Arabidopsis thaliana: one gene and its partners. The protein of the gene in region 1 interacts with the protein of each later gene in a pairwise test. Each region holds a gene or a part of one and is shown in the gene's direction. Other genes may lie near its edges. The genes, in order: AT2G12646, AT4G36590 and AT1G21200.

What was found.
Region 2: the proteins of AT2G12646 (region 1) and AT4G36590 interact in a two-hybrid assay, tested with the Arabidopsis thaliana proteins (one large-scale study listed by BioGRID).
Region 3: the proteins of AT2G12646 (region 1) and AT1G21200 interact in a two-hybrid assay, tested with the Arabidopsis thaliana proteins (one large-scale study listed by BioGRID).

Annotation. Positions count from the first base shown.
Region 1 is NC_003071.7:5,163,606-5,174,349, reverse strand, and holds AT2G12646 (PLATZ transcription factor family protein), read left to right. Parts: upstream 1-5,046; 5' UTR 5,047-5,327; coding exon 5,328-5,330; exon of another isoform or gene 5,331-5,484; coding exon of another isoform or gene 5,485-5,487; intron 5,488-5,562; coding exon 5,563-5,808; intron 5,809-5,889; coding exon 5,890-6,030; intron 6,031-6,790; coding exon 6,791-7,171; 3' UTR 7,172-7,366; downstream 7,367-10,744. UniProt on the Arabidopsis thaliana protein: Probable transcription factor that plays a central role in mediating RGF1 hormone peptide signaling leading to the production of reactive oxygen species (ROS) in roots to modulate meristem size and root growth, probably via oxidative post-translational modification of the transcription factor PLETHORA (e.g.
Region 2 is NC_003075.7:17,257,635-17,267,401, reverse strand, and holds AT4G36590 (MADS-box transcription factor family protein), read left to right. Parts: upstream 1-5,174; 5' UTR 5,175-5,212; coding exon 5,213-5,545; intron 5,546-5,842; coding exon 5,843-6,256; 3' UTR 6,257-6,465; downstream 6,466-9,767. Other genes in the region: AT4G36610 (alpha/beta-Hydrolases superfamily protein), read left to right, coding at 128-778, 1,385-1,474, 1,555-1,622, 1,713-1,857; AT4G36600 (Late embryogenesis abundant (LEA) protein), read right to left, coding at 2,434-3,280, 3,522-3,754; AT4G36580 (AAA-type ATPase family protein), read right to left, coding at 6,741-7,272, 7,404-7,552, 7,632-7,962, 8,099-8,189, 8,299-8,608, 8,702-8,812, 8,920-9,015, 9,166-9,444.
Region 3 is NC_003070.9:7,416,555-7,427,448, forward strand, and holds AT1G21200 (sequence-specific DNA binding transcription factor), read left to right. Parts: upstream 1-4,593; 5' UTR 4,594-4,718; intron 4,719-4,909; 5' UTR 4,910-4,928; coding exon 4,929-6,260; 3' UTR 6,261-6,449; exon of another isoform or gene 6,450-6,842; intron 6,843-6,963; exon of another isoform or gene 6,964-7,057; intron 7,058-7,084; 3' UTR 7,085-7,119; downstream 7,120-10,894. Other genes in the region: SEC5B (Exocyst complex component SEC5), read left to right, coding at 1-79, 160-370, 756-871, 989-1,217, 1,476-1,569, 1,712-1,789, 1,902-1,958, 2,070-2,219 and 2 more; LSM3A (Small nuclear ribonucleoprotein family protein), read right to left, coding at 3,435-3,515, 3,838-3,933, 4,186-4,302; WAK4 (wall associated kinase 4), read left to right, coding at 8,099-8,933, 9,031-9,216, 9,292-10,487.

The DNA of each region.
Region 1 (10,744 bases):
GTTGACAAACTTGAAGTAGCCGCCTTATCCAGTTTATATCGGAGTGTCCTGATTCTTTCTTTAGCGTTGGTTTTGTGACCCCTTTTCTAGCGTGATATTTGTCTCCAGCATCTAGTAATTCTGTCTGTAAAGGGGATGTCCGTCTCACTCTGTCTAATACCACCATGCCAACCTCTTAAGACTGAGTCTTTAAACCCATCCTTATGCAGAAAACGGGTATCATAACGAAAACAGCCTCTTTGGTCTTCCACTGTATCAGAGACGTAAGAGACCAATGGACGATGGTCTGATTCACCCAGCTCAAGGAACTCAGTTTCTGAAGCGGGATAATTGTTGTGCCATTCTGTATTTGCCATAGTGCGGTCCAAGCAGCAGGTGACTAGGTGATCTCCTCGTTGCCCAACCCAAGAGAATCTATCTCCTATCTGTTTTAGGCCTGTAAAGTCACAATTCCTAACCATCCTTCTAAAATCCTGGAAACTAGCCTCTGGTCTTACCCTTCCTCCCCTTTTCTCGTTATTGCCTAGGAGTTCATTGAAGTCCCCCATGATTAGCCAAGGGCTGTTCCTTCTATTAATTCCAATCCTCTCTATTCTCTCCCAAAGATCATTTCTATAGCTTAGATTGGGATGCCCATACACAAAGGAAATGTAGAAAGATGATTCATTACTTCGAACAAGGCAATCTACAAGATTAGGGGATTGAAATAAAACTGAAAGATCTACAGACTGCTTCCAAAGGAGTACTAAGCCACCATTAAGACCTACAGGTGGAACAGTTACATAAAAGGGAAATCCTAGTTCACAAGCTTTATCCCGAATGTCGTCATCCTGCTGCTTGGTTGCTGAAAGGCATATGATGTCCGGGAGATATCGTCGAGATATCTCCTTAAAGCGTCGAACTATGTGGTCAATGCCTAAACCTCGACAGTTCCAGCAGGTTGTCCTCATGTTGGAAGTGGTGGTTCAGGGCCCAGCGCGCCTCTCACTGTGGTTGCATCAACTTCAATGCTATCATCGTTGTTCTCCCGTACAATATTCGCCAGCTGGCTTGTGCCTACACCAAGGTCCAAATCGTTACGCTTACGGGTTGACGGTAGGGAGGTCTCCATGGTTTGCATATGGGATCCGTCTTGATTCATCGCAGACATGGATTCAGTCGCCTCAATTTTTATCTCCATAGAGTTGTCTTCGTCGTCACGCTTACGTTTGACACGATCTGTGGTAGTGTCAGGAGCCAAGTTGATCACACACTCAGAGTCCATGATAGCCAGAGGGTAGGCACAAGGTGGTAGAGAATTATAATGAGGGGTTCCTGAGATATCAAGGCAGTCATTAGCAGAAGATGGAAAAGGGTTAAAGAGCTCACCACCAGCATTCCCTTCCTCCTGAAACATTGTAGAGTTTGCAGATTGTAAGAGAGCATCATGGTTAGGATCAATATCTGCAAGATCAGCTTCAGCATCCTCAACCGGACCATTGTTGTCATCTTGGTTTACAGCATCCTGGTTTTGGACATTAACAGCAACATGTTCCAAACCCTCCAAATCTTCATCATCATTAATCTCTCTAATAACCACTCCTTGATTACGCCCTTGCGGAGCCTGGTCATCCTCATCGTCATCATCATCTTGTTCTTCTCCCCCATTCACGATAACACAGGCCCCTGAGTCATGGGTCAGCATCCCACAAACCTCAGAAAAGCCTCGAAGCCTTTCATATCTGAACCGGAAAAGTGTGTTAACACCCGCAGTGAATTGGAACTTCCTCTGAAACCTTACGGAAATAGTGATGTCCCAATGTACGAGAACACGAACAAAATCCACCCGCGCCACAGCCTCTACATCAAAATCAATTTTCAGCACTTGTCCCAGGGCCCGTCCGATGTGCTCGACGACGCCACAGTTGAGAAATTGGAATGGAATGCCTCTGATTTGGGTCCAGAAAGGAATGAAATTGAGGAGCGGCAACAAGGGCTCCCATCGTTGAAGAATCAGCATTTGATCATTGAAAGCCCACAGACCTCGACACAAAACTGATTCCAAGGATTCTTCATTTGGGAAAATGAATTGAAAATCCCGACCCTCCACTATGCGGCTGTGAACAAGTCCGGTTTTACCCCAGATTCGCGGCATAGAAGCGATGATTGAACGGAGGTTTTGTCGCCTTGGAATCACAGGACGCCCGAAAAAGGATGAAACGGTTTTCTGCGACAGCTTGGTTCACAATGTCTTCAGGTAAAGCAATGGGTTCGTCATTCACACCCAAATTGAGGTCTTGGACAGCCCGACGCAAATTGTCACCAATTTTTGAGAGATTTTGATAGAAGCGAAGAGGATAGAAATTTGCAGAGATGATATTGAAAATTGTAGAGATTTGTCGAATTGCAGATCTGCCAATAAATAGGCACATAAACGCAACCGTTGATGAAGCATCACGCCAGATCGTGGATCCGAACGTGGATGAAAACCAGAGAAGTGGTGGAAAAGAAACCACCCACTACGCCGGCGAAAGTGATGGAAACCGTCGTCCAACCGACGAGAAGAAGATGATAAAGTAACCGTCCCAAAATCGCATTTTGTGTCGCCATTTAATAAATTATTTTATCTATAAAACAAGATGTTACAAATGTATTTTTGTTGTTGGTAATAGTTGGGACAGTAATTAATAAGTATGAAATACACCGTGAAATAAATATATATACTTTTTTGTTATAAACTTATGACATTGGTGTATTATTTATTTTTTATGTTTTATTGGTAGAAACTTATGTTTGAATTTGATTACACTCCTGGTAGATTTTTTATAACTAAATCGTATTTAAGATTGTATAATTGTGTTTTGATTGTTAATTTTAAGATTTTATCTGTGATATATTGTCATGTATTAACCTCGATCCAAACCCGTCTTACCATATAATCCCGTCCCTTAAAAATAAACATCATATTCTTATTTTTCTTTTTAATAATACTTTTATTTTAAAAATATATAATTCAATATACACTGCAGGATTAATAATTTCTTCTTTTTAAAAAACCGATTAATTGTTGTATATAATACTTTTTGTTGTTATTTATTATAAAATTATGATTGATTGTGTATGGCTTCTTATTGGTTAGTTTTCAATATTTTTGTCCATTATTATTTTATCTTTTATATGGTTTTCCATATTATTTGGTTTTGTAAAAACATTTTTGCTTTGTTTTTGCATCATTTTATTATAACCCGACCCACAATAAATGAGCAAATGTTTCTTAATCGATTAAATTTTTTTTAATGATTTAATTTTGTTATATTTTAGATTATACATAAAAAATATATTTCATTGATTGAGTAATATATATCTGTTTAAAAACTTTTGAATCACAATATATCCAGAAACAATCTAAAATTTTATTAACAATAAATATTTTATTATAATTCAAAATAATATAAATATAAGATCAAATAAAAGTGAAATGAGAATCATATATTTATGTTTGTAGAGAAGTTTTAGGAAATTAGCTCAAATGTTTTATATTAGCATTAAACATCATATTTGATTTTCTTATCCAAAAATAAAAAGTTAAGATATAGTAAATAAAAAAAAACATATCCATACAAATGAGCAAATATGTACTTTAAAATTGTTAAGTAGATGTTGACGGACATGTTGAGGAATATATTTTTGATATGATGATTCATTTAAAAAAAAGAAATATTTTTAAATTTTTATGGAATTTAAAGTTTATATTTGTATTTATTTAAAATAAAAAATAAGAAAATATAATAAAATCATTATTGTTAATTTTACAGTTAAATGAGTTTATATATTTTTTATTTGGTGGAAGATTCTGATTGGTTAGAGAAAAAGGAGGTGAATAAAAGAATTCACCTCTATAAGTAAACCCAAATATTTTTCAAAAATTATAAAACAAGTTAAAAAAATTTGTATCAAACATATTTTACCCAAAACGGAAACAAAAGTTAAAATTATACAAATCATTGCATGTTTAATTATAATTGGCGGTTGTTTTATGCAGAATTGAAATTTTCAACAAAATTTAGTAGAAGATGTAAGATTTGTAAGATAAACTTTAATGTAAATTGCAAGGTAGTATTCCTTAATTTGATTAAACAGCTAATATATAAACATACATTAATACGGTGACGTATAAAATATAATTATCTGCCATAACAAGAAGTACCATTTTAATTGTTTTTTTTTTTACCGGTACCATTTAGACGTTTATGACATTTAAATAGAACAAGTTGGCGTAAGACAGAAGAATCTTTTTCTTGATGTTTTCTTCTTGGGTATTGTAATTAATAAATTACTACCATTATGATTAACCATATGCTCTGTACATTTCTACTCCTATTAGACTGAAATATTATATAATAAAGCATAAAATAAGTTTTTAGTACTAATACCACGACATCAAGAATTTGACGGTGTATAAGTTTCCACGAATCTAAAAATTGGTTCAACCAAAATATATGAGTTTTTAGTAGATAACATTTCTATCGGTAATTAAAGGGTGTAAGGATTGCATTACGAAAATTTGTCGCGTTCATTTTTATCTTTAGCCCAAGTAGGTTGCATTGCATAGCTTCTACTTGGAACACTACTTATTGTAATGTATTACTAGGCAATAATTTGACTAGTCAATCCATATCCATTGTTTATTTAATCTATTATGTCTAAATTTAAGAATCACTAACCTTATATAAATATCTACAACAAGCCTATGTAACTATTTTCTAACAAAGCATACATTACTATTCTATTCACAATGCTTGGACCGATGATACTTAATAGTTTATACTAGTTTTGTATCTTCCTCAATTGGTTAATGAACACCAATATGAGTCTTAACACATCTATCCTTCTCTCTTGTATTTGGTAGATCATAAGAGGAAGAAATAAGGAATTAAAATTGGTGATGGCTACTAGAGACTCTTCTTCACGGAGGGTTTAACCTAATTAAGCTCTTAAGCCAAGGAGATGACCCAATAAATATATGTTTAAAGTAGGAGACACGGAAACAGCTCCCACGTTCCTCACTTTCTCTCTCTTTTTCTTCCCTCTATCTCTCATCTCACCAACACTAATAAACAACAACCAAGTTTATATGATATTTAAAATGTGTAAAAGAGTTATATCTCCGAGGAATAATCAAATATAAGTTTTTTTTTTCTCTCTTTCTCTCTCCCTTGTGATCCTCCATAAATCCTATCATCAAGTACTCCCCTAAAGAATCCTTTTTCTCTTCCTAATATTACTCTTTGTAGTGAGTAGTGGCCAAAAGTTTCCATCTCCCAAAGCTGACTTTCAGTTGAGTCCTCATGGTAGGTTACTACTTCTTCAATTCTATACCATCTTAAGTAGTGAAATTACCTCAATCATCGTACCGAATTCCTTATATTTGTACCCTTTATCCTCATCTTGGCTCCTTGGTACTTAATTATAGATTTAATGGTGGATGTAGGAAACAGTTGAATTATGGTATGAAGTTTTATTTACTTATTTAAGATTGTTTATGAGATAAATATTTTAGAGATTTTGTAAATCATTTGGTAGGGAATTCAGAAACCGGCATGGTTGGATGCGCTATACGCAGAGAAGTTCTTCGTGGGATGTCCATACCATGAGACGGCGAAGAAGAACGAGAGGAACGTGTGTTGTCTTGATTGTTGCACCAGTCTCTGCCCTCACTGTGTACCCTCTCATAGATTCCATAGACTCCTTCAAGTTCGCCGTTATGTGTATCACGACGTTGTTCGGCTTGAAGATCTTCAGAAACTCATCGACTGCTCTAACGTTCAAGTAAGTAATCTATTATACATATATGTATTATCTCATATCTATATATGTATATAAATGGATTGGGTGTTGAATTGTGGATAGGCTTATACAATAAATAGTGCAAAAGTGGTGTTCATCAAGAAGAGACCACAAAATAGACAATTCAAAGGAGCTGGCAACTATTGCACTTCTTGTGACCGAAGTCTTCAAGAACCTTATATCCATTGCTCCTTGGGTTGTAAGGTTATTTCATCTTAACTATATATTACTTCTACATAATATTTGACTCAATTCTACTTGACTATATGATTCGCACTTAGCATATATATAAAATAATTAAATTATGTGATAGTCTAAACTTTATAGATGATTCGTTTCTATGATAGAAACACATGTTCCCCTTTTAACTCGTCCACAAATAGAAATACGAATACATCAACAGGATACTACAACAAGTATACTACCAAATACCCTGATTTTTGTTTTTCAAACGTAAAACATTTTTTATTTTACTTTTGGTTAAAATATTCACACTTTTTTTTTAGTTATCTAACCTGGCTGTCCTTTAAAATGTTTTCAACCCGTAAAGTTTGTTAGTTTCCGCAGATGAGAATCTCAAGAAAAAAAAAAGGATTTATTAAATAACCCGTATATGGCTCGATTTTGAAATCTTGTCCTTCTGAACTAATGTATTTAACAAAAAAAAAAACATGAAGAAATTCTATAAAGGGGAGGCTAACTTTTTTAATAAATAAGTCTATCATTGACCTTGCCATTGGAACTTGGAACTATGTAAATTTGGTGCATAAATACTGTAAATACTCCCATATCATTTGAGCTAGTGGTTTGGCCCTAAGTGTTTTAAGAAACCACCACACTTTCAAATCTTTTCAATGTTGCACTTTGTAATAAATATATCATGTTCTCAGAATAACATCTAAGCTTTTTGAGCATGTAGTAATCTATGTGATTATATAAAAGGTTTTGGTTTATATACATGTAGGTGGACTTTGTGATGAAACGTTACAGGGACATAACCCCATTCCTCAAGCCATGCCACACTCTAACCCTAGGTCCTGACTACATCATCCCACAAGACTTACTGACAGATGATGAAGTGGCGGCCTACGAGACTCCTCGATCAACTGTGGTAGACGGCGATGAGTCCATGAGCTGGTCCTCAGCTTCCTCGGATAACAACAATGCGGGTGCGGCGGCTGCTTATGCCGCAACCACCACCCATGTCGTGAGGAAAAAAAGGACTGGTTTTTGCCTTTGCGCTAAATCGGCTAATAGTTATAAAGAAGTTTCGGAGGATCCTGACGATATTTCTGCTTGCATCAATCGGCGAAAAGGCGTTCCTCAACGATCTCCTCTCTGTTAACGTACTCTTTTCTTCTTTGTTTTTGTTTTCTAATCTTCTTTATTAGTTTCTTTTCACCATATAGTCTTATATGTTACATGTATGGATTCTTGTCGTGCGGTCTCTCTAATAAAGTTTATAATCAGTTTTTTATTTTATTTTATTTTGCTTACGTAGATATTAGTTTAGCATACCTTATAAATTCATAAGAAAAAAATTATCTTATCGCATAATAATATGTTTCTTCTACTCTGGTATCCTCAATATCCCTAAAAGGCCTCAGCCAAGTATTTCTTTTGTCACTTAATATATATCTAACCTAGGTTGAAGTCAATGTAATTTGTCTTTGACATATGAAATTGTACATTTTCGGCTTTCATAGCTTAGATTATCGTTTCAGATTAAATAATATGGAGAATCTGAAATATGAAATTAGATTTGTTTTGGACAGCTCTGATGGTGACTCACGTGGCTCCTAATTCCGAGCTGTGGGATCTTTCATGTTGTTCTAATATTGTTTTTTCATAAGAGCTAATTTTTTTCTACTCATTTTATATATATAAAATACTAAAACTTGAACCCACGAGATTCTCAAAACAATATTATAAATATATACATATATATTTTAAATTGATATTTATTTTTATATTTGTAATTTATGTTAAATATAATAAATATAACTAATTCTGAAAAAATCAGACAGAATCCTATCAATATTGTGAAATAAATTAAGTATTGATTCGTAACTTTCTTATAAACAAGATGATAATAGAAACACAGAGTCTTAATGGTTTTACGCACTCCATTTTTCGATCCGGGATATATATGGGAGGAGACAAAGGTGAAGCTAAGCGAGCGGTCCCATACGCAGGCACATCAATAATAGATGTGAGAGATATAAACAGAGAGGTAGATATACACTACAAGCTTTCACTGGGCATGAAAATGTCGGTGTGGTTCGGTTTCAAAATGCCTTGGAGGAAAAAAAAACCTATGTTCATATCCCTCTATGTATAACATAGTAGTATTCATGAAAATACATATTGGAGATGTCCATATCTCCCGCTCTCTAAACCAAGAAGTCAAAGTTATAACACAAAGACTGCCTGGAATAAGAGTACTTGAGGATAGGATGGGGGATAAAGTCCAAATTTATCTAGATGTTAGACACAATAAAAGAGATGGATTTAGTTTCTTCATTTTATTTCCATCCAGGACAATCTTTTTCTTTATCGATATAACACAAGAAAAGTCATTGGCAAAATGCCAATCCTGAGGTACATTACCACAAGAAATGCTTAAGTTTACGTATTGTTAAGGTTTCATATACATATACTCTACTACTTTTAAGGCGAGTCGCAAGTACAACGAGGGTGATCTCTCGTGGTCTAGTATTCTGACTTGATTGTATAGTTTGCCTAATTTTGTAAAGAACCAAAGGGTGTGCAAAACAACTGCAACCAACCAAATTAAACCAAAACAGAAGTAAAATGAATTTCTTAATTGTGTGGTTTCACTATTATAAAATCTGAAAACAAACCCACAACCGAACCAAAACTGTTTTTTTTTTATGTGTGTCCAAACAAAAATGTTTTCCTAATTAAAATTCGTACTTTTAAGAAAACAAAAACTTTGCGGTTCAAAAATAAATTTCTCTTTTATTAATCAAAAAAAAAAAACTATATTTAAGCCAAGGTCTCACGTATAAAACCCTCCTAAATAAATAAATGGAAACTTTACAACGGGAAAATATCAAAAAGCGCAAATTTTTAAATTTAGGACGACAAAATGAACTTTCAAAACTATTTAAATCTTAAAGTTTAGTTTAACTTGACCATTTAGGACATGTCGTTAAGTTTCCATCAACCAAACAATCAGAGAGTTAAGTTTTCGTTAGAATTTCTTTTATATCAAAACGATGTCGTTTTGAACACTAGAAAATGAGGAGGAAAAACAGCATTTCAAGGGAATCAAAATGCAGACCTTTTGGACTAATAAAGGACATTAAACCATTGAGCTACGTTAACATTTTGCTATCTTACAGATATAGCGTATATTTTATATAATAAAGTAAGGTTCCTCAAAACTTATGATCTAAAAAACAGACAAATGGTGCTCTATTCATTCAACATGTGTCATTTTCCTTAAACTTAAATATACTATTTTCATATTCATTCAATCTAATAATATTATTGACAATATAATATTTTATTTCTTTTTAACAATAACCATAATCAAGAAAGGTCTACATGTACAACTCAATGAAGCTATTTTGGTTACTTATCTTGAGAAAAAGATAATTAAGAAAAGTCAGCCCTTTTGTAGCCAAATCCAGCAATAATTTACCACATTTTTTCTTTTGCTTTATAGGGGTTAACTCCTCTAGAATCTTTGGATTTCGTGGAGGGTATAGTGAGATCTTGTAGCTTTCATAGATGTAAGGTTGAAGGTCTATCTATTGAAGATTTGAAATGACACTGGCCTGATCTCTTTGGAGATTTCGAAAATCATATGATTGTTAAAACTTCATTGAACATCTTTCTTTCTGAAGGCTCCACTAGAGCATAGAGTGTAGATATACAACTCATCAATTGAATGTCCTATTTTCTCATGATTTTTTTCTAGGGTTGCTGTCTGGAGTGTAATTTAGCTTCATTTTTGCCTTTAGTAGGCGCAATCCACCTCTAAACTTATGATCTAAAAAACTCACAAGTGGTGCTCTGTTCATTCGACATTTGTCATTTCTCTTAAATTTAAATAAACTATTTTCATATTCACACAATATAATAATATTATTGATAATATAATATTTTATTTCACTTTAATAATAATCATAATCATAATTTATTACATATTCATTCTATAAAATGTAACTCCTATAATGTTTGACAAAAAATAACTTTACATATAAATACAATATAATGTATTAACTGTCATCTCGTTTATGTTTTAGTAGAAAACATATGTTTTTACATTACCAAGAAAAATAAATCAATATTTTATTACATTATATTGTATTAACTGCAATTGTGTTTATGTTTTTGTGGAAAACATATTTCTTTGCATTTATTGAAAATAAAAATATAAAAACACAAACAAATGTATTTAAAAAACATAATCATCATCATCATTTATTGCATATTAATTCTTTCAAATGTAATTTCCACGATGTTTGACCAAATTTATTAAAAACAAAACCACAATTAAAATCCATGACAAATTAATTTCTCTATAAATAGTAAGACAAAGTCTTAATCAAATATTATATTCTACCTCTCATATATATATATATTTAAATAAAATATTTTTTTTATTTTAAATAACTTTTATCGGTTTTGAAACAAATAGGTTGAGTTGAAATTTTGGAGCACATATAGAAGTGAAAAAGGGCTAAAACACCTTCTTACTTTTAGATGAGAAACAAGGTATGTTATATCTTCTTAACTTTCACCTTGTACTTCTTCTTCATGTTTTGAGGATTTCGCGAAGCCCGTATTCAATAGTCGTCTATGACCACACCTTGTAAACTTTTTTAAAAGTGAACATCCCTTTGCAAAACTCATAAAGCAACTATCTTTATTTCCTTGTATTATC
Region 2 (9,767 bases), on another chromosome or scaffold:
CCAAGTGCCAATTCTCCAAGTTACATTTGAAAAGATCGAATGGAAAAAATGTTTATATAATGTTGCATCCCATTTGGGCTTCTCTTCAAACATCTCTCAACAACAACAACAAAACAAAACTTGCACAATGGTGAACTTTGTTGAGGTACAAAAACCATTGTTGTACGGTCTGATGAAAATGGCTGGCGTCGTTCCTTACACTTTAGAGATCGAACCAGGGACGAAGATCAACTTTTGGGTCCCTAAGGAAACCCTAAAGAAGAATTCCGGTACCGGAAAACCAACGAAACCCGATAAACCTAAAAAGCCTGTCGTCTTGTTAATCCATGGTTTCGCTGGCGAAGGAATCGTGACGTGGCAGTTCCAAGTCGGTGCATTATCCAAGAAATACTCGGTCTACATACCGGACCTCCTCTTTTTCGGTGGATCCTACACCGACAACTCGGACCGGTCTCCGGCGTTTCAAGCCGACTGTTTGGTCAAGGGGCTTCGTATCCTCGGCGTGGATAAGTTTGTTCCCGTAGGGTTTAGCTACGGGGGCATGGTGGCTTTCAAGATCGCTGAAGCTTACCCGGACATGGTTAGAGCAATCGTTGTGTCTGGTTCGATTCCCACAATGACCGATACCATTAATGAGGCGAGCTTGAACCGGTTAGGGTTTAGTTCTTCCACGGATCTCTTGTTACCGACTTCTGTTACGGGACTTAAGGCTCTCTTCACCATTGCTGTGCATAAACCCTTGTGGTTCCCTAAACGATTGTTCAAAGACTACATCGAGGTGATTATTACTACTCAAAGTTAATTTATTTATTTTCTTTTCCTTTAGTGAAAATAACAATTCCGTAGCAAATGATTACATTTTGGAGTAAGAAAGCATGTTAGTTTTTCTTTCTTTTTTTTTATTTTTCCACAAATTCACATTATTAGTATATTTTACTGTCGCAAGGACATATTCATATGGATCACGTTTCCAAGAAAGAGTGATTGTGTGAGTTAGGTGGGACTTGCGAAGTATACTTACCTCTATTCGATCAACTGAAAATGAATTGGAACTTTAAAATTAAAATTCCAATTTGTTGCCTAAAAATTAAAATTATATACAATAGAAGTAAGTAACGAAAAATAGATTCTAGATAAATCTACATTTCTGGTAGGTTAGCTATTAAAAATATTTTATTTTGTCAAAGGTTAGCTTAATTTGTTCAACTACTCTCAACTACATCTCGTATTTATTTTCTAGGTAACATATGTTTTTTTCGTCACTATACTTGTCTACCAATGATTGATTTAACTAGAGTTTCTATTATACTATATTCTAAGAGTTTTTCGTTGAATAAATGTGAACGTATGGTCCTAAATTAAGCTTTACTGGTGAACTTGGTAGGTAATGTTTAACAACAGAAAAGAAAGAGCTGAACTGTTAGAGGCTGTTGTGGTCAGCAACAAGGAAGCGCAAATCCCTCATTTCCCACGGGTACGTATGAACATATGTCCACATCCGTATGATTTGTAGGATTTAGACTCTATATAATAGCATTTCATGTGTGTATGCAGAAAATACATTTCTTGTGGGGTGAAAGTGATCAAATCTTTGATCTCGAATTGGCTAGAGACATGAAAGAGTAAGTTTGAAGATATTATAATTTTATAATTTCTGCCATTTTGAAAGGATTTTTTGGTGTTATCCTAATTTTTGCCGTTATGATTTTTAGACAAATAGGTGAGAACGCAACAATAGAGAGTATAAAGAAGGCAGGCCATTTGGTACAATTGGAAAGACCTTGTGTTTACAATAGGCGTCTCAAAAAGTTTCTTGCATCTATTCACTCGGAAGATAAAATTAAAATGCTACATTAAGTTCTATTTGATCCTGATATACTGTATGTATGGATCATTTGTGTCGAGATTGAATAATTATTGGGTTTGTTTTTACTTGATTTGTCTTTTTGTCATTTACTATGATCACAATATGTAATATTAATCTTTATGAGACTATTTGATTATGAGCATTATTGCATGCACACTCTTTAAGTATTAGCTTAATTATTCGGTACTTTATGTCAATGTCTTCAACATTAAATCAATAAGTAACGCAAAAACTCAGTTTCTCTGTTTCGCAACAATGCTCTCTGTTTCACTCCCTCGGCACAAAACAATTAACCTTTTCTTCCGATCTTGTTAACCAAAAGATAAGAAAACAAAAACAAAACACAAAAGAAGATGATCTACCATGTTGATAGATCGAGAGTAAAGAAACAACTCGCCTTTCATTGAGAATCTGATTTTGCAACTAATACAAGCAACTCCACCATTCTTACATATACATATACTGCTGATATACACATATATATAAGAAATTTATTGTACAAACGAAGATTTGAAATCTAAATGCAAACTTACCCTATACGGCTATACGTTATAATTTTTTCAGTTCTAAAGCTCAGCGCTACGGTCTCTCATATATGAACCGTACTCACCAGCAGCATCAGAAGCCTTCTCCTTTGCACTCTCATAAGCTTCTTTTGTGTTCTCCGACATAGAATCCTTAGCTGCACCATACCTCTCCCCAACCTTATGCATTGCCTCGTCGAATCTTCCGGCTGCTTCGCTCCCCGATTCGTATGCATCATTTGCTTTGTCTTTAGCATAGTCCACCGCTCGCCCTGCGGTTTCTCTAACATCGTGAGCTTTATCCGATGCAATGTCTTTAGCATTCTTAGATCCTTCTTTGAATCTTTCGTATGTTCCATACGCACTATCTTTAGCTTCACCACTCGTATCCGTAGCCATCTTAATCACATCCTCTGCTTTGTTATAGGCAGCGTCTTTTGCGTGAGCTGCCTTGTCATAGGCAAAGTCTTTGGCTTGACCAGCCTTCTCAGATGCTGATCCTGCTTTGTCGTAGGCCATGTCCTTGGCTTGACCCGCCTTGTCGTAGGCTGATCCCACCTTGTCGTAGGCCATGTCTTTAGCTTGACCCGCCTTGTCGTAGGCCATGTCCTTGGCTTGACCGGCCTTTTCGTAGGCTGATCCTGCTTTGTCGTAAGCCATGTACTTGGCTTGACCGGTCTTATCGTAGGCCATGTCTTTTGCATCACCAGCCTTATCATAAGCATAATGTTTTGCGTTATGAGCACTATCGTAAGCAGATCCGGCTTTGTCTGATGCAAAGTCCTTGGCGTAACCCGCATTGTCATAGGCGGATCCAGCCTTGTCATAAGCGTAGTTCTTCGCAGATTCAGCCGCTTCTTCTGCCTCAGCTTTCTTGCCTCCCAATCCTCTGTTACAATATTGGATCAATCATCTATATATTATCATTCTTAAATCACTTCACAGTTTGAAATGCAAATGATGCGTAACATGCGTTTATATATATACATTTCAAATTTCTCTTAAAACAAAACTCAGATCTACGTTTACAATTTGAAATCAAACACTATGAGAAGATGGTTCCATTAGAAGAAACCAACACAGATCCAAAATAGAAGTATGATCATGCCTAAACAAAAGTTAACGCTTACGTGGAAATTTTGTCGGAAACCCAACCAGCCCAAGAGGCGGTTTTGTCCTTTGTGTCATGAGCCGCATCGGACGCCATTTTCTTAGCGGTCTCGGCTGCGTTTTTAGCATGCTCTGCTTCGTTTCTAACCATATCCTCTGCTGTCTCCGTTCCCCATCCATAGCATTGCTTCTGCCACGTCAGCGTCACCACCGTCGTAAGCATCATAATCATCATCAACGTTCTTCTCTCCATTATTCCTATTCTTTAAAATTCCGATTTTTTGTTTTGTTTCTTGGTTCCAATCTTCATGGAGGAAGTTTCTAGTTATAGATGAGCGAGAGAGGGAGAGATCACATTCCTTTCTTTCACTAGATAAGCGGTTATTGTAAGACACGTGGTTATTCGATGATTACGTGGTTATTCGATGTTTACGTGGCAATTAAAGAGGCGGTTATGCTGGAAGTGCTTGCGACGTGTCCACTTGTGGTTCGATTTTGTAGGGTTAGTGTCTCCCGACCCGAGGTCACGTGGCCGGTCGCGTAGAGGAAGTTTCAATACTTGGAAAGATTAAAATAACCGGTTTAGAAAACCGAAGCCATGCGCTTAGCAGGGTTACAAACCGGATAATCCAGTAAAAAGGTAAATCAGAAAGTGTTTATTTTTTTACCTTTCTTAGTTAATCCAATGTTTTTTTTTTGTCATCTCATTTTTAAAGAAAACTGTTTTTTTTTTGGTTCAACCAAGAAAATTGATTTAAACCATAAAAAAACAAAACTAAGCCCAACAAGAAACCCAGCATGAGCCCAACCGAAAGTGAGAGAGGTGAAGAAGACACCAATTTTAAACGTTTTGACGATACAATTACAAAGTTTTCTAATAAGATAAGTCAGATAGTGTAAACTTTCACAAAAAATCAATTATATAAAATAATTTAAAATATTTATAAGAATCAATAATGATTATTGTAATATTCAAACATTTTATTTAAGAACAAAGATAGTTAAAAATCAACAATATTTGAGTATAAATCATTTTATTTATATCTTAGAAATGTTAATTTCAATAAACATAACTCACTATCATTATGAAAAATATATCTAGTAAATGGTATATATCTAAATTAAAAAAATTTGGGCCCATAACTCAAAATCTTTTGAATTTCATTTAATAATTTTTTTTATTATGTAAAGTACAACTGTATATTTTATCTAGTAATGATTGTGATATCTCAAAAATAGATAAATTTTGTTTTACTGTATAAATATTACTTGCATTAGCTGTATACAAACAAATAATTTAATGGATAATTTTGTTCAAGATTTTTCCCAAAAATATAGATTAAGTATTTTAACAAACAGCTCATAAAATTTTAATGTGCCTCTCATGGGCAGTTGGTGCATACATTTGTCAAACTGTTATGCATTTACCAACTAATATAATGATATTGCATTTGAAATATCATGAATTTTATATCCTTAAGAAATTTTAGAGATAATTATGTCCTTAAGAAATTTCAGAGATAATTATGAAATATTCCTCAAATTGGAAAATTAATTTTTTGGCAAAATTAAGGGTTGAAGGATTATGTTTACTTATAATGGACCTATAATGTATTACATTTCCATATGTAATACACCTGTATAAATATAAAGAACATATTTTATTTCTTAGCATCAAATTTGTCATTTGTTTATTCAAATTTTTGAGAAAATGGTGAGAAGTACCAAAGGTCGTCAGAAAATAGAGATGAAAAAAATGGAAAACGAAAGCAACCTTCAGGTTACTTTCTCAAAAAGAAGATTCGGTCTTTTCAAAAAAGCTAGTGAACTTTGCACATTAAGTGGTGCAGAGATTCTGTTGATTGTGTTCTCTCCTGGTGGGAAAGTGTTTTCTTTTGGCCATCCAAGTGTTCAAGAACTCATTCATCGCTTTTCGAATCCTAACCATAATTCTGCCATTGTCCATCATCAGAACAACAATCTCCAACTTGTTGAAACCCGTCCGGATAGAAATATCCAATATCTCAACAATATACTCACTGAGGTAAACAATTTTGTTTTAAAGAAAAATGCAAGAGAATTATATATATATATATATATATATATATATATATATATATATATATATATATATATATATATGCCAATTCTATGTCTATAACTTAATTTGTTAAGGGAAAAAGAGACCATCAATAGTTAGATTGTTTTCAAATCGTATCCATAGTTAGATTGTTAAAGATATCAAATGGTATCCATAGTTAGATTGTTTTCTTCAAAATGTTCAAATATATAAACCATATCTCGTTTTTTTCACAACATGATGAAATGAATCTCATTGCAGGTGCTGGCAAACCAGGAAAAGGAGAAACAGAAGAGAATGGTTTTGGACCTATTGAAAGAATCCAGAGAACAAGTAGGAAACTGGTATGAAAAAGATGTGAAAGATCTCGACATGAATGAAACCAACCAGCTGATATCTGCTCTTCAAGATGTGAAAAAGAAACTGGTAAGAGAAATGTCTCAATATTCTCAAGTAAATGTTTCGCAGAATTACTTTGGTCAAAGTTCTGGCGTGATTGGTGGTGGTAATGTTGGCATTGATCTTTTTGATCAAAGAAGAAATGCATTCAACTATAATCCAAACATGGTGTTTCCCAATCATACACCACCAATGTTTGGATACAACAATGATGGAGTTCTCGTTCCGATATCCAACATGAACTACATGTCAAGTTACAACTTCAACCAGAGCTAGAGTCTGAAGCTAGAAGAACATCCTAATCAATATTTGCGTTATTTTGGCTATGGTTACTGTTAGGATTGTTCTTGTATTGTGAGACTTAAGTTTGTTTTTTCTTTTAATTTGTTTCAGTTGGTTGGTTTTTCATTTTATTCGTCGTTTGTTTTCCTTTGTTTTTGGATATTTTTGTATCCAGAATAAATTTATTTATCCTTTAATTTTACTTATATTTTTATTTTTATTTTGCTATTTAAGCTTAATGTTATATACTGAAATCAAACCAGATTTACAAATGAACAAAACAATTTTTTAAGAAACCCTCATCAGACAGAAATGAATCTAATGTTAACAACGAGAAGTGTTCATATGTAAGACTTCAAGATTCTGTAAAACTCTTTAACATGTTTAATCTAAAAATTCAATTTTAGGACTCATTTTAAAACAATCAGATTCTTCTTTCTGATCAAGTAAATGACATGTATAATCAAAATCCAAATGACTAAGAGAAGAGTAATGGCTGAAAACCTTCAGAAGCAAGCATATGCCTTCGGTGATGTTCTTCAACCTTATATTCAACAATCTCTTTAAAAAGCTGTGAATCCAAAACACAATCCGCTCGTCCGTACACTCCAGCTTGTACTCCAGCCACAAGCTTTGCAATCTCACGGCCAGAGAATCCTTCTGTCTTCTTTGCAGCCTCAGAAATCACTTTATCAGTTAAGTCTTCTTCAACGGTAATCTTCTGTGACAGCTTCTTAAACAAATGACTCCATTTCGGTTTTGTGTCTTCGTTGTTATCACCCATCTTTAGATATTTGTTGAGATAGAGATTGAGAAGCTTGAAACGTTCTTCTTCCCCTGGAAGTGGGAACTCAATGACTTCATCAATCCTGTCTGTAACCGCACTATCGAGATCTCCACGTCTGTTTGTAGCCAAGACAAGAACAATGTCCCGAGATTGATCACCAGTTCGGAAGAGCAAAGCGTTCAGAGCACTACGTTGAGCCTCACTCATGTAAGTGCTGTTACGCCTGCAAAGAAAAAGGAATCATCTTTCTTGAAACCAAGAGAAAAAGTTGCAATCTTTTTGTCATATTACTGTCAAAAACCTAAAACGCTAAAACATCCACTAATCCTTGTAAAGAAGAGAAGGAGATCTTACTCGCATAGAAAAGCATCGGCTTCATCAATGAAAAGAAGTAAGCCTTTGTTCGATTTCTTAGCCCAATCAAATATCTGATGGATTTTAGTAACAGCTTGTGATCCCAAGGGAGCAACATCACCTCCTGTCATCATAGCATAATCCAGACCCTGCAACAAATAATTGTATCTAAGAACTCATGAAGACGGTACTAACAAAGCTACTACCATAGTTTTGATAATAACTCACCGATTTCCGAGCTATTTCCCTTGCCACCATAGTTTTACCGGTACCAGGAGGTCCATAAAACATCATGTTGCGGAATGGTGCTTGATGGGATTTGGTGTTTGCTGTAGCTCTAGCGAGACGCTCGATTCGTTTCTTCAAAGAAGTATGGAGAATTACATTATCAAGCGGCTTTTTGCCTTCTGCTGCAGAAGCTGCTGCAGCCCCTGAGATCCTGTTCTTAAATTGAGACACTGAGCCTGTCCATGGAAATCTACGCATGGAAGATTCTCGAATAAGTGACGGTTGTCCAAGCATCCTATTAATATAACCCCATGTAACTCTAGCTCCTTCACTGTCAAACACAAAAAGATTCATGAAATAGATTACATTAGAAAATGATAAAAGAATCTAAGATCACTTGAGTCAAATCAGACTGGTTCAGAGAATCCCATAATATCCAATAGCTTATTTGGTTCGGAGATGCATACCGAGTTGTATAAACCCCTGCAGCTAATGCAGTAGCTCCTCCAACAGTCATAATCAGCTTATTTCGATCAGTTAATAAGGTCCTGAATCCCCCTGCCAATTTCATATAGAAGTAAGCAAAAGGAACAAAAAGAACTGATCTTTCCTTATTCAAAATCAAAAGCAAAAAGATATATTTTTCTTGATTTATCAGTTTCCATACCTTCGATGTGACTGAACATTGTGTTGATTGCAGCAAGCCACTTCTCTCTTTCACCATTAATCCTTTCCATAAGCAATCTTCTGTTTTGCTCTTCAGTAAGTTTGGCTTCATGAGCCCGACCTTCAGCTTCAGCCATGGCCTTGACACGAATCGTCTCTCGCTCAAGTTCAGCTCTCTCTTTCTCAGTTTGGCGATGCTGAGCTTGGATCTGTTCTTCTGTGGCGATTTTTGCCTTCTCTTTCCTGATAGAAGACGCCTCTTGCATCTTAACCAATTCCACATTATGATGCCTCTGAGCTTCATGATCTGTCTACATTACTCCCAAACCAAAATCATTTGTAAGATTTTTATACTTCAGAAAGATTAATCCATCTACGAGAACACATAAGAAAAAAAGAATAACCTGCTGTCTCTTTCTGGCCAATTCATCCTCATATCGCAGATTTTGCGCTTTGGTTTGCGCCTGTGTCTGCAAAAGATTTCTCTGGTCCTCAGCCAATTTCTGCTGTCTGCCCTGCCCATTTCAAATGCCCCATAAAACAAATCATATTACTTTGCAATCATGTCAAGAATCAGATAAAAAAAAATGGCAGAAAAAATGGAAAATTCAAGTTTACTCACAATATCATTGTGTGCTTGAATAGCTTCGTAATGAGAAGTCTCTGCCGTTAATTCAGCTAACCGAGTTTTCTCCTGCTTCCTCATGAGATCAAACACCTAATTGAAAAACCAAGAACCCAATAAGCTAAGAAGAAACCCCAATTCTGCAATCACCAAAAGACCAATCTCCACAGATCAAAATCCAATTTTTTCATACCATTTTTGCTAAATCCTAATTTCATTCCCTAAATAGATATGAAGGGTCACCTGCTTGGAATGGGGAGAGCTATTGATATCTCTAAGAGCTTTAGCAGCTCTCTCAAGAGCCTCAGGATCAAAACCCGATCCTTTAGGCTCATCAGGCTCTGCTTTAGACTTCGATGAAGATTGATTCGCCGGAGAATCTGACGGAGGAGGAGAAGGAGAAGAAGAAAAGAAAGGAAACCGGAATCGAGAAGAATCGGCGTAAGCACGGTTCTGAGACATTGACATTGAAGTGAACGCAGCAGCTATCGCCGCCGCGGAACACAATCTAGAAGCAGCCATCGATTTTGATAAAAAGAAAAGATTGACCCTTATTCAGAGATTGAGAAATAGAGCTAAAGGTTCATGAAAGTTGGGAAATTGACGGTGAATGATGGTCGATTTCTGGGTTTTGCCGACCATAAACCCACGGTGGCAGCTAGCTTTTAGGGTTTAAACGGTATTTTTCAAAAGGACAAAAAATAAAATGATAATAAAATCTCGACCGTATAAGTTTACTTTGCTTGGAGAATAATCAAAAAGCAGATCTGGGCCTAAATATAATTGGGCTTATTATTGCTTGGAGAATAATCAAAAAGCATATTTTCATAGGAACTATTATTGGG
Region 3 (10,894 bases), on another chromosome or scaffold:
TATATGAGTGATACAATCAAAGAAGTATCAAAAGCATGCCAAGCTTTTGAGGCCAAAGAGTCAGCTCCCCATAGTGCTGGTATTTGAATTTCGTCTTAAGCTTGAGCTTGTTGTTTTGTTGAAGTATACTGCGATTATGTAACTCTTTGGTTGTGGCAGTCATGGCACTAAGAAAAGTTAAGGTGGAAATCACTAAAATATACATCCAAAGGCTCTGCTCTTGGATGAGAGCGTCTACAGAAGAAATATCAAAGGAAGAGACGTGGATTCCAGTTTCTATTCTTGAAAGGAACAGATCTCCATATTCCATCTCTTACCTGCCCCTTGCATTTCGTTCAATTATTGTTTCTGGGATGGAACAAATTAATATGTAAGTTTCTAGCATCTTCCTGTTACATACTTACTTGTATATACAAATACTTAACCTTGTGTACCTTAATAATTACAACTTTTTGCTATTATTCTGTAAGAGTTCTAGATATCTGTGATTCCAGCTAGACCGTACCCTAGGATTTGATGTTCTACTTCTCTCTCTAGTTAGAGAAGAATGGGAAGCTGCCAAATTGCCATTTTTATGATTCTGGTTGCTCGGACCATAATCACTAGTCATATTATGATACTCAGAAAATGAACCATAAATATGGAGTTCAGAGACAATCAGAGAACTGCATATGCAATTGTCTACCACCAATTTCTGTTTTTTAACAGCGATGTTGCCTTATATGGCTGCTAATTTCTGTATATACATTTTCCAGGATGATTCTATCTTTAAAAGGTGAAGCTGCTAGATCCGAAGATATGTTTGCGCATATTGAAGAAATTCTGATATCTGTTAGACTTGCCTTTTTGAACTGCTTTCTGGATTTTGCTGGTAAGCTTTTTACACCAAACTTCCGTGAAAGTACATGTATAGATGCCCACATAAATGTGTGGGCAGACAAAAAGAAATTTTTATGTTAATATGCTAATTGATTTTTGCACATATCAGCTCACTTGGAGCAAATTGGTGCTGACCTTTCTCAACGCACTACAAAGCGAGAGAGTTGGCAAAATGGATACTCCAATGACCACCAGGAAGAACAATCAATCAATGCTCCTGAAAGTGTTGTTGATCCTCACAGGCAGTTGTTGATGATCTTAAGTAATATAGGTTACTGCAAAGACGAACTTGCCTCTGAGCTTTACAACAAGTACAAATATACCTGGTTACAGTCTAGGTGGGTTTCTTTTTTATTTGAATTCACTGGTACGATCGGCAGAGTAGTTGGACAAACTCAGTCATGCTTAGATGTCAGAACCTTGATAATTAATGCCAATGTCTGAATGACAAACACAGTCATGGTTAAATGTCTCAACCAAGATAATTGGTTCCAATATCTGAACTTTCCTAATCAAAACTTTGAATGTAAACGTAAGAATTACTATATGGTGTTATAAAATTTACTGGTTATCATTGTGTCTCTTAAATGTTGCAGGAGAAATGATGAAGACATCAGCGATCTTCAAGATCTAATGATGTCTTTCTCTGGTCTTGGAGAGAAGGTTCTCGAACATTACACTTTTGCTAAGGTAACGATTAATCTGCTTGATAGTTTAGTAATGTTCTCGCTGTGTCTTAGAGAATTGATGCACCGCCATTGAACAATGGAACAAGGATTGTTTGTTTTCAAATCATTCCTACTAAGTTTGCATCTATTTCACTTGTACCTAGGCAAACTTGATCAGAACAGCCGCCACAAATTATCTGCTGGACTCTGGTATTCAGTGGGGGGCAGCGCCTCCAGTAAAAGTAAGTAGCAAGTTTACTCTCAGTTGTCACTTTTTTTGCGCCTTAGAAGAACCAATGAATAGACCATTTTAGCATTTTGTCTAAAGAAACGATAACTAAACCTTTACTTCAGGGCATACGAGATGCTGCTGTTGAGCTGTTACACACTCTTGTAGCTGTCCATGCAGAGGTAATACCATTGCTTCTAACCATTAGATATTCAAATTTCTACAACCATTTCTTCTAACCACCACAATTGGGTCAAAGCCCGTTAATTTAGTACTAAGAATTATAATTGCAGGTATTTGCGGGTGCCAAACCACTCCTGGACAAAATTCTTGGCACTTTGGTTGAAGGTCTGATTGATACTTTTCTCAGTCTTCTAGACGAAAACAGATCTGACGACCTGAGTTCAATAGATGCAAATGGTTTCTGCCAATTGATGCTTGAGGTAAAATCTGTTTGTCTTCTCAGTTTTACTTGAGTGAATGGATTAATAGTTAAAAAATTGTGATGCTGATCTGCTTTCACAAACTGGTGGATGCAGCTCGAGTATTTTGAGACGATACTGAAGCCATATTTGACGGTTGATGCAACCGAGTCTCTAAAGTCTCTGCAAGGAGCTGTGTTGGAGAAAGCTATAGAGAGTATAAGCGAGACAGTTGAGAACAACCCGGGAGGGCATCAAAGGAAACCAACACGTGGCAGTGAAGATGCAATTTCAGATGACAAACAATCATCCGTATCCCCAGATGATCTCCTTGTAAGAACATTTTTCATTAACCACCACTTAATATTTACCATCTTCAATACTTAAAACCGCTAGCACATTCAGTTAAAAGCGGGTTTGCTTTGTTACTGTTGCTGCTTTAGGCTCTTGCACAGCAATGTACAAGCGGAATGCTTCAACTGGAGCTAGAGAAGACCCGTTTGAACAGTGCATGTTTCATTGAGACCATTCCGTTGGATCCAGTGCCACCAGTAGCCAAAGCTGCCTACTCCAGAACATCAACTGATTCTCCAAGCAGAAACTATAGAGAGTCACAACCAATGGGTTCTCCGGTTCAAGCCAGACCCAGACGAAGATAAGACTTCTCTTCTCCATTGTTACTATGCTCGAAGCGTGTTGGTGATCATGACAAGTTATATCTTACGATAGATACCTCAAAACTTTTAATTTCATCACTAATCTTTTTTTTACTGTAAATTTACATGCTTACAATTACATTAATCTTTTCTCATGAAATCAATCTTGTTTGCGTTTTCAGCCTCCTGTACTGTGAATCAATTTGATGGTTTGGTTAATCAAAATGTCTTTCCTAGGGTTACACACATCTAAATATGTCACCAATCACTATTCATAATAGAGCTCGAAATCAATGAGTTTGAGGAAGTATACAAATCTTTAGAGAAAACTACACCAAACCAGAAAACGAAACTAAATCCGATCGTAAACGGTAAGAAAGTCACAATACGAAGTATGTTACACTGATTCTACTATAACGAGGCACCCATTACCAAGATTCGAATGCTACATTCGGTTTCAATGTTTGACAACAAAGAAAAACATACCACACAATTACAAATTCAAAAGCCAAGTAATCAGAAAAAAGTGCTTTTACTCAGCGCCAGATTTGTTAACTCCGATCCCAGTACACAAGAACATTTAGGTCGTCCTCAAAGGCGGTGACACCAATATCACTCCATCTCCTCTCACGAATAGAAACGGTACCGTTCGCTTCGTTGTCTGACAGAAGCAAGTTACATCAGCAGGAGAAGAACATATGATTCTACACTAGTCTAATGAGAAGTTAGCACATCACATTTGGAGCGCAAACAACAAAATTCAAGTTTGAGAAACTAAACAGAGTTACTATATTGGTAATGAACACTCTCTATGTAACCAGCACTATTAACTTCTACATGAATCAAGCTCTCCTTTAAACTCAAACAGAGACATAGACAATAGATACTGTGATAGCTGAAATATTTTGAACCCAAAAACGTTTATCTTACTACTAAAGCCTACATAGATTAATAAATCTTATTGAGCTAAGAGAATTACATACCCGAACAATCTCTTCATATGTCTCGTCGTCGATTTCTATAGTCGTAATAACCTCTTCAACATCACCCAGAATCATATTCAAATGCTGATCAAAAGCCTACACCACAAAAACAACAACAAAAGTGAGAGTCTTAGAATTTAACAAGATTATGAGGTTTTCTACGCCAATTAGCTCTCGCTGAGGCTTTCGAAACTGAAACTCAACAAAATGGGTCCAAATTTTGATATTTGTGAAAAGAATAAAAACTAGTGTTAAATTCAACGAATAAGGAATTCAAAAAGGAGCTCAAAATCGAAAAAGATCACATCTGGTTACTGGTTTCTGGAATCCGAGTGGTTAAGAACGTACGTGAAGCTTGCCGCGGAGTTCACGGTCAGATCGGAGCTTGACATAGATCCTCTCTTCGATACTCAACCGAATCAGATCGAGTGGCTCTCTAACGGTGGCGTCTTCCTCGACTGACATTTTCTGATTATAACTTCTCCGAGGGTTTTGAAATTGTAGTGCTCTCGGCGATATCTCTCTGACTGAGCTCAAGCAATCGCCACCGTTGGTTCCCTAAAAACTTCAAACCAACATCTTACGATTCGGCCTTTTACTATGTTTTTGGGCTCTCATATCGGCCCAATATGGTTAGCTCTTTTTTTTTTTTTCGTCGAAGTATTATGAAGATAATAAATCATCTAATGCAAATAAATCATGGTTAGTGGAACTTAACTATATTAAGTCCAATCACAAGGTATCAATTGGTCATTTCATTACACTAAATTTACTATAATCTTTATATTGGTTGTTTTAATCAAAAAGCCTTTTGTCATATACAGAGAGAGAAGAGAAACCTGAGGAAGCTGACCGGAGAAGACGAAAGCAAACTTTTTTCTGTGAGTTTTACTTCCTTTGACTCATCTCTCATATATTTACCGCTTTATTTTCTTCATCCCGATTCCTCTCTGCTTCATTCTCTCCTAAAGTTTCGATCTTTAATATTCCCCTAAGATCCAGTACTAATTTTGTTGACAAAGGTTTTGACTTTTTGAGATCTGTTTTCTCTTCGATTTCTCTGATGAATTAGGAAGAAATTTGATCCAAAAATGGATGGGAATTTTCCACAAGGAGGTGTAGTTCGTAGTGGAGCTTCATCTTATGGAGGATTTGATTTACAAGGTTCTATGAGAGTTCATCACCAAGACTCCATGAATCAGCAGCATCGACACAATCCTAATTCTAGACCACTTCATGAAGGTCTTCCCTTTACTATGGTTACAGGTCAAACCTGTGATCATCATCAGAATCAGAACATGTCTATGTCTGAGCAACAGAAAGCTGAAAGAGAGAAGAATTCAGTGAGTGATGATGATGAACCAAGTTTCACAGAGGAAGGTGGTGATGGTGTTCATAATGAAGCTAATAGATCAACTAAAGGATCTCCATGGCAACGAGTGAAATGGACTGATAAGATGGTGAAGTTGTTGATTACTGCTGTTTCTTATATAGGAGATGATTCGAGTATAGATAGTAGTAGTAGAAGAAAGTTTGCTGTTTTGCAGAAGAAAGGGAAGTGGAAATCTGTTTCTAAAGTTATGGCTGAGAGAGGTTATCATGTTTCGCCGCAGCAATGTGAGGATAAGTTCAATGATTTGAATAAACGGTATAAGAAGCTTAATGATATGCTTGGTAGAGGAACATCTTGTCAAGTTGTTGAGAATCCTGCGCTTTTGGATTCGATTGGTTACTTGAATGATAAAGAGAAGGATGATGTTAGGAAGATTATGAGTTCTAAACATCTTTTTTATGAAGAGATGTGTTCGTATCATAATGGGAATAGGTTGCATTTGCCTCATGACCTTGCTTTGCAGCGTTCGTTACAGTTGGCGCTTAGAAGCAGAGATGATCATGATAATGATGATTCTAGGAAACATCAAATGGAGGATCTTGATGATGAGGATCATGATGGTGATGGTGATGAACATGATGAGTATGAGGAGCAACATTATGCGTATGGAGATTGTAGGGTAAATCATTATGGAGGTGGTGGTGGTCCTTTGAAGAAGATAAGACCAAGCCTTAGCCATGAAGATGGAGATCATCCGAGTCATGTGAATTCTCTGGAGTGTAATAAAGTCTCTTTACCTCAAATACCGTTTTCTCAAGCTGATGTGAATCAAGGTGGGGCGGAGAGTGGAAGAGCAGGTTCGGTGCAGAAGCAGTGGATGGAGTCGCGGACTCTCCAGCTAGAAGAGCAGAAGCTTCAGATCCAAGTTGAATTGCTGGAATTGGAGAAACAGAGATTCAGGTGGCAGAGGTTTAGCAAGAAAAGGGATCAAGAACTCGAGAGAATGAGAATGGAGAATGAAAGGATGAAACTTGAGAATGATCGGATGGGATTGGAGTTGAAACAAAGGGAATTGGGTGTTGAATTATAACGGAATTGGCTTCACTTCTCTTGATTGGTATATAGCTTTGCTAAATGAAGTCTCATTTTCTGCTTTTGTAAGCTTGCTTTGATTGGAATGATCTCGAGACTTTGATGTGAGAGATCTTTGTGGTTGCATCAGTGATGAAGTTTGTGAATGTAGTGAGAAAGGAGTGGTTAATATAAGCAGCTCTCTAAGGTTTGTTTTAACTCTACTTCTCAGTACTCAACTGGTTAAGGTTATTTTCATTGTTCTGCTGTATTGTTTTCGACATCTTAATCCAATGTGTAACAAATATCTCATTGTTAAGCCAGTTTGAGAATGAGTTGTTGCTAACTATTTGCTTCTAAGAAGATTGAATACTTTTCGACATGGAACCTTAATACATATTTTCTATTGGACGTGGATCCAGATAACCTTTAGCAGTTTATACTTTGGATCACATCACATCTCCTTTAGTGGAAAATGAATCAGTTTGACGATATTGAGTTTTCCTGAAGAATCTTGAAGCTATATTCTAAAGGTTTCTTTCAGTTTGCAGTCACATGTTCTTCTTTTGTCTCTTTCAACATAAATGTAAAGATGTTTCTGACTAAAAAGCATGTTATGTTTGCCTGCTTTAGGTCCATCTCATGCTTGCGCTTCTTTTCAGTTTTTGTGTTTCATTTTTTGGCTGGTTAGTGATGAGAAGCTTCTTTCCTTTCTGTTTTTTTCAAATTAGAGTTTTCTGGATACTTATTAGTTACTAACAAAGAGAGGGCTTCTTCGATATTAACTTTTAAGTATCCAGAAAACTCTAAATTTGAAACAAACTCATATTTTTTGGTCTGCAGGTTATGTGTAAACGTCTTTGACTCGCTGCTTCATACACCTGTGCAATTAAAACCTTGAAAATTTTAATTTCCTAGCATGGAGAATATAAGAAGTCAATCAAGGCGTAGCATGAAAATTTTCATTTCCTGAGGTTGGAGCCGGAACCACAAGGGAAGGAACTCTAGTATCTGCCTTGGTGTTTATGCTTTGTTGCTTCAATACGCAAAAATGCACCAGAAGAAGAACTCTTTACACCGAGTATGTGATCCCCATTCACGCTGATAGCATATCAAGTCATGAGCAGCTGCAGTGCTGGAGACGTGTAACAATTGCATTGGTCAACAACTTACACCTGTTTGTAGCGAACCAACCACAAATCCAGCTTAGCTGGATAAGTCTGACCCTGCCAAGGTAGGAATTCTGTATCCACTCTCTGCATTTCAAGCTTTCACTATCTCTTTGAGCGGCTCCCACACCAAACTGACTTGCAAACTAAAGTAAACCTCAAAATAAAACAGAGCGTGTTATGGTTAGTAATCAAGTCTCTTCCAGAGGTGGTTTAAGTTTAACTATCATATACATTAAAAAAAAAAAAAAAAACAGTTTGATGTGATAATCAATGTTAAAAAAAGGTAATATTGACAAAGACTCGAGTTGACGAGAGATCAAATGGCTGTTTCGTTATTGTTAAATGGGTCTCTATTCTATATTACGTATTCTTTCCATTTGGTGTTTTCTTGTACAAGTTACCAACCGTTATGGTATTTGACTCCGTCAGAAAAAAAAAAACAAATTGTTAAAGTGAAGCAAACGTAGACGTTGAGATATTATATGGCATATGAAGCATACTTCAACGCCCCCTTGTAATAAAGTAGAAAATGTCTTAGCTTTGTTATTGGACAATGGATTATAGTATTGTAGATTTAGGAAGCAAACTAGAAGGTGAAATGAGAATTGTTCTCCGAAATTAAATAGATGATATGATGAAGAGCCCTGCGTAAAGATCAAGTTTGGAGAGAAAATAAATAAAGAAGATGAAAGTGCAGCGTCTGTTCTTAGTAGCTATTTTCTGCCTCTCTTATATGCAGCTGGTCAAGGGGCAAACCTTGCCTCGTTGCCCCGAAAAATGTGGCAACGTTACACTTGAGTACCCTTTTGGCTTTTCTCCAGGTTGTTGGCGTGCCGAAGATCCTAGTTTCAATCTCAGTTGTGTGAACGAGAATCTATTCTATAAGGGCCTTGAAGTGGTCGAAATATCTCACAGCAGCCAGTTACGCGTCCTATATCCTGCATCCTACATTTGCTACAACAGCAAAGGAAAGTTCGCTAAAGGGACTTACTACTGGAGTAATCTAGGTAATTTGACTCTCTCCGGCAACAACACGATTACTGCATTAGGCTGTAACTCGTACGCTTTTGTGTCCTCTAATGGAACTCGAAGAAACTCAGTTGGATGCATATCAGCATGTGATGCTCTTTCCCATGAAGCAAATGGAGAATGTAATGGTGAAGGCTGCTGCCAGAACCCCGTCCCTGCAGGGAACAATTGGTTAATAGTCAGATCATATCGCTTTGACAACGACACGTCAGTGCAACCTATCTCTGAGGGTCAATGCATCTACGCCTTTCTCGTTGAAAATGGCAAGTTTAAGTACAATGCTTCGGACAAATATTCTTATCTGCAGAATAGGAATGTGGGGTTTCCTGTGGTCTTGGATTGGTCTATTAGGGGAGAGACATGTGGGCAAGTTGGAGAAAAGAAATGCGGTGTGAATGGCATATGTTCCAATTCTGCTAGTGGGATCGGGTATACATGCAAATGCAAAGGAGGTTTCCAGGGGAATCCATATCTTCAAAACGGTTGCCAAGGTACTTCACAACTTGTTTTCTTTCTATCACTTCAGTTAATTGTTTTCCTCATACATTTCTTGTTGGATCTTGAGTCTTTTTTTTTAACTTGGGCCAGACATCAATGAGTGTACTACTGCTAATCCTATCCATAAACATAACTGCTCGGGTGACAGCACCTGTGAAAACAAGTTGGGACACTTCCGTTGTAATTGTCGATCTCGTTACGAATTAAATACCACCACTAATACCTGCAAACCTAAAGGCAATCCTGAATACGTTGAATGGACTACAATTGTTCTTGGTAAGCACCTCTCTCACTGATTCTCTATTCTTTCTTTTCTGAAACAACTTACTCTAATCATTGTGATATAACCAGGAACCACTATCGGCTTCTTGGTCATTCTGCTTGCCATTAGCTGTATAGAACATAAAATGAAGAACACCAAGGACACCGAGCTCCGACAACAATTCTTCGAGCAAAATGGTGGCGGCATGTTGATGCAGCGACTCTCAGGAGCAGGGCCATCAAATGTTGATGTCAAAATCTTCACTGAGGAAGGAATGAAGGAAGCAACTGATGGTTATGATGAGAACAGAATCTTGGGCCAGGGAGGCCAAGGAACAGTCTACAAAGGTATATTACCGGACAACTCCATAGTTGCTATAAAGAAAGCTCGGCTTGGAGACAATAGCCAAGTAGAGCAGTTCATCAATGAAGTGCTTGTGCTTTCACAAATCAACCATAGGAACGTGGTCAAGCTCTTGGGCTGCTGTCTAGAGACTGAAGTTCCCTTGTTGGTCTATGAGTTCATTTCCAGTGGGACCCTTTTCGATCACTTACACGGTTCTATGTTTGATTCTTCTCTAACATGGGAACATCGTTTGAGAATGGCTGTAGAAATAGCTGGAACTCTTGCTTATCTTCACTCCTCTGCTTCTATACCAATCATCCATCGCGATATCAAAACTGCAAATATTCTTCTGGATGAAAACTTAACTGCAAAAGTAGCTGACTTTGGTGCTTCAAGGCTGATACCAATGGATAAAGAAGACCTCGCAACTATGGTGCAAGGAACTCTAGGTTACCTAGACCCAGAATATTACAACACAGGGTTGCTAAACGAAAAGAGCGATGTTTATAGCTTTGGGGTAGTCCTAATGGAACTGTTATCAGGTCAAAAGGCATTGTGCTTTGAAAGGCCACAGACTTCAAAACATATAGTGAGTTACTTTGCCTCAGCCACGAAAGAGAATAGGTTGCACGAGATTATTGATGGCCAAGTGATGAACGAGAATAATCAGAGGGAGATCCAGAAAGCTGCAAGAATTGCTGTTGAGTGTACAAGATTGACGGGAGAAGAAAGGCCAGGGATGAAGGAAGTAGCTGCAGAGCTTGAGGCCTTGAGAGTCACAAAAACCAAACATAAGTGGTCAGATGAGTATCCTGAACAGGAGGATACTGAGCACTTGGTTGGTGTTCAAAAATTATCAGCACAAGGCGAAACCAGCAGCAGCATTGGCTATGATAGTATCAGGAATGTAGCAATACTGGACATTGAAGCAGGCCGCTGATATCTCCATCCAACTCTCACTGTTGGCCACATTCCGTTCGATATGATCAGGTTTCTTCCCGCATCATACTCATAGTAAACATCTAATAAAACCCTGTAAATAAAAAAGATAATAATCAAAAGCTTGAGACATTCTTGTTTCGCCAGATCATCAATCGTTGTGTTTTATAACTCTTCTTTTAGTTTGATTTATTATCTCCTTGATTCTCCTCAAAAAACATGTAAAAACAGTGTACCAAACATTGCATTCAGGAAATGTATGGATTGGTGGTTTAAGATCATCAATCATTGTGTATCTGTGTGTGTATATAAATCCCTTTGGTATTTGAAGATTTAGAATTCACTCAAAATCAAGAATTCATGAACTTGAATCTATGTTGATGTCTCGTTACGGTGAAAAAAAAAAAA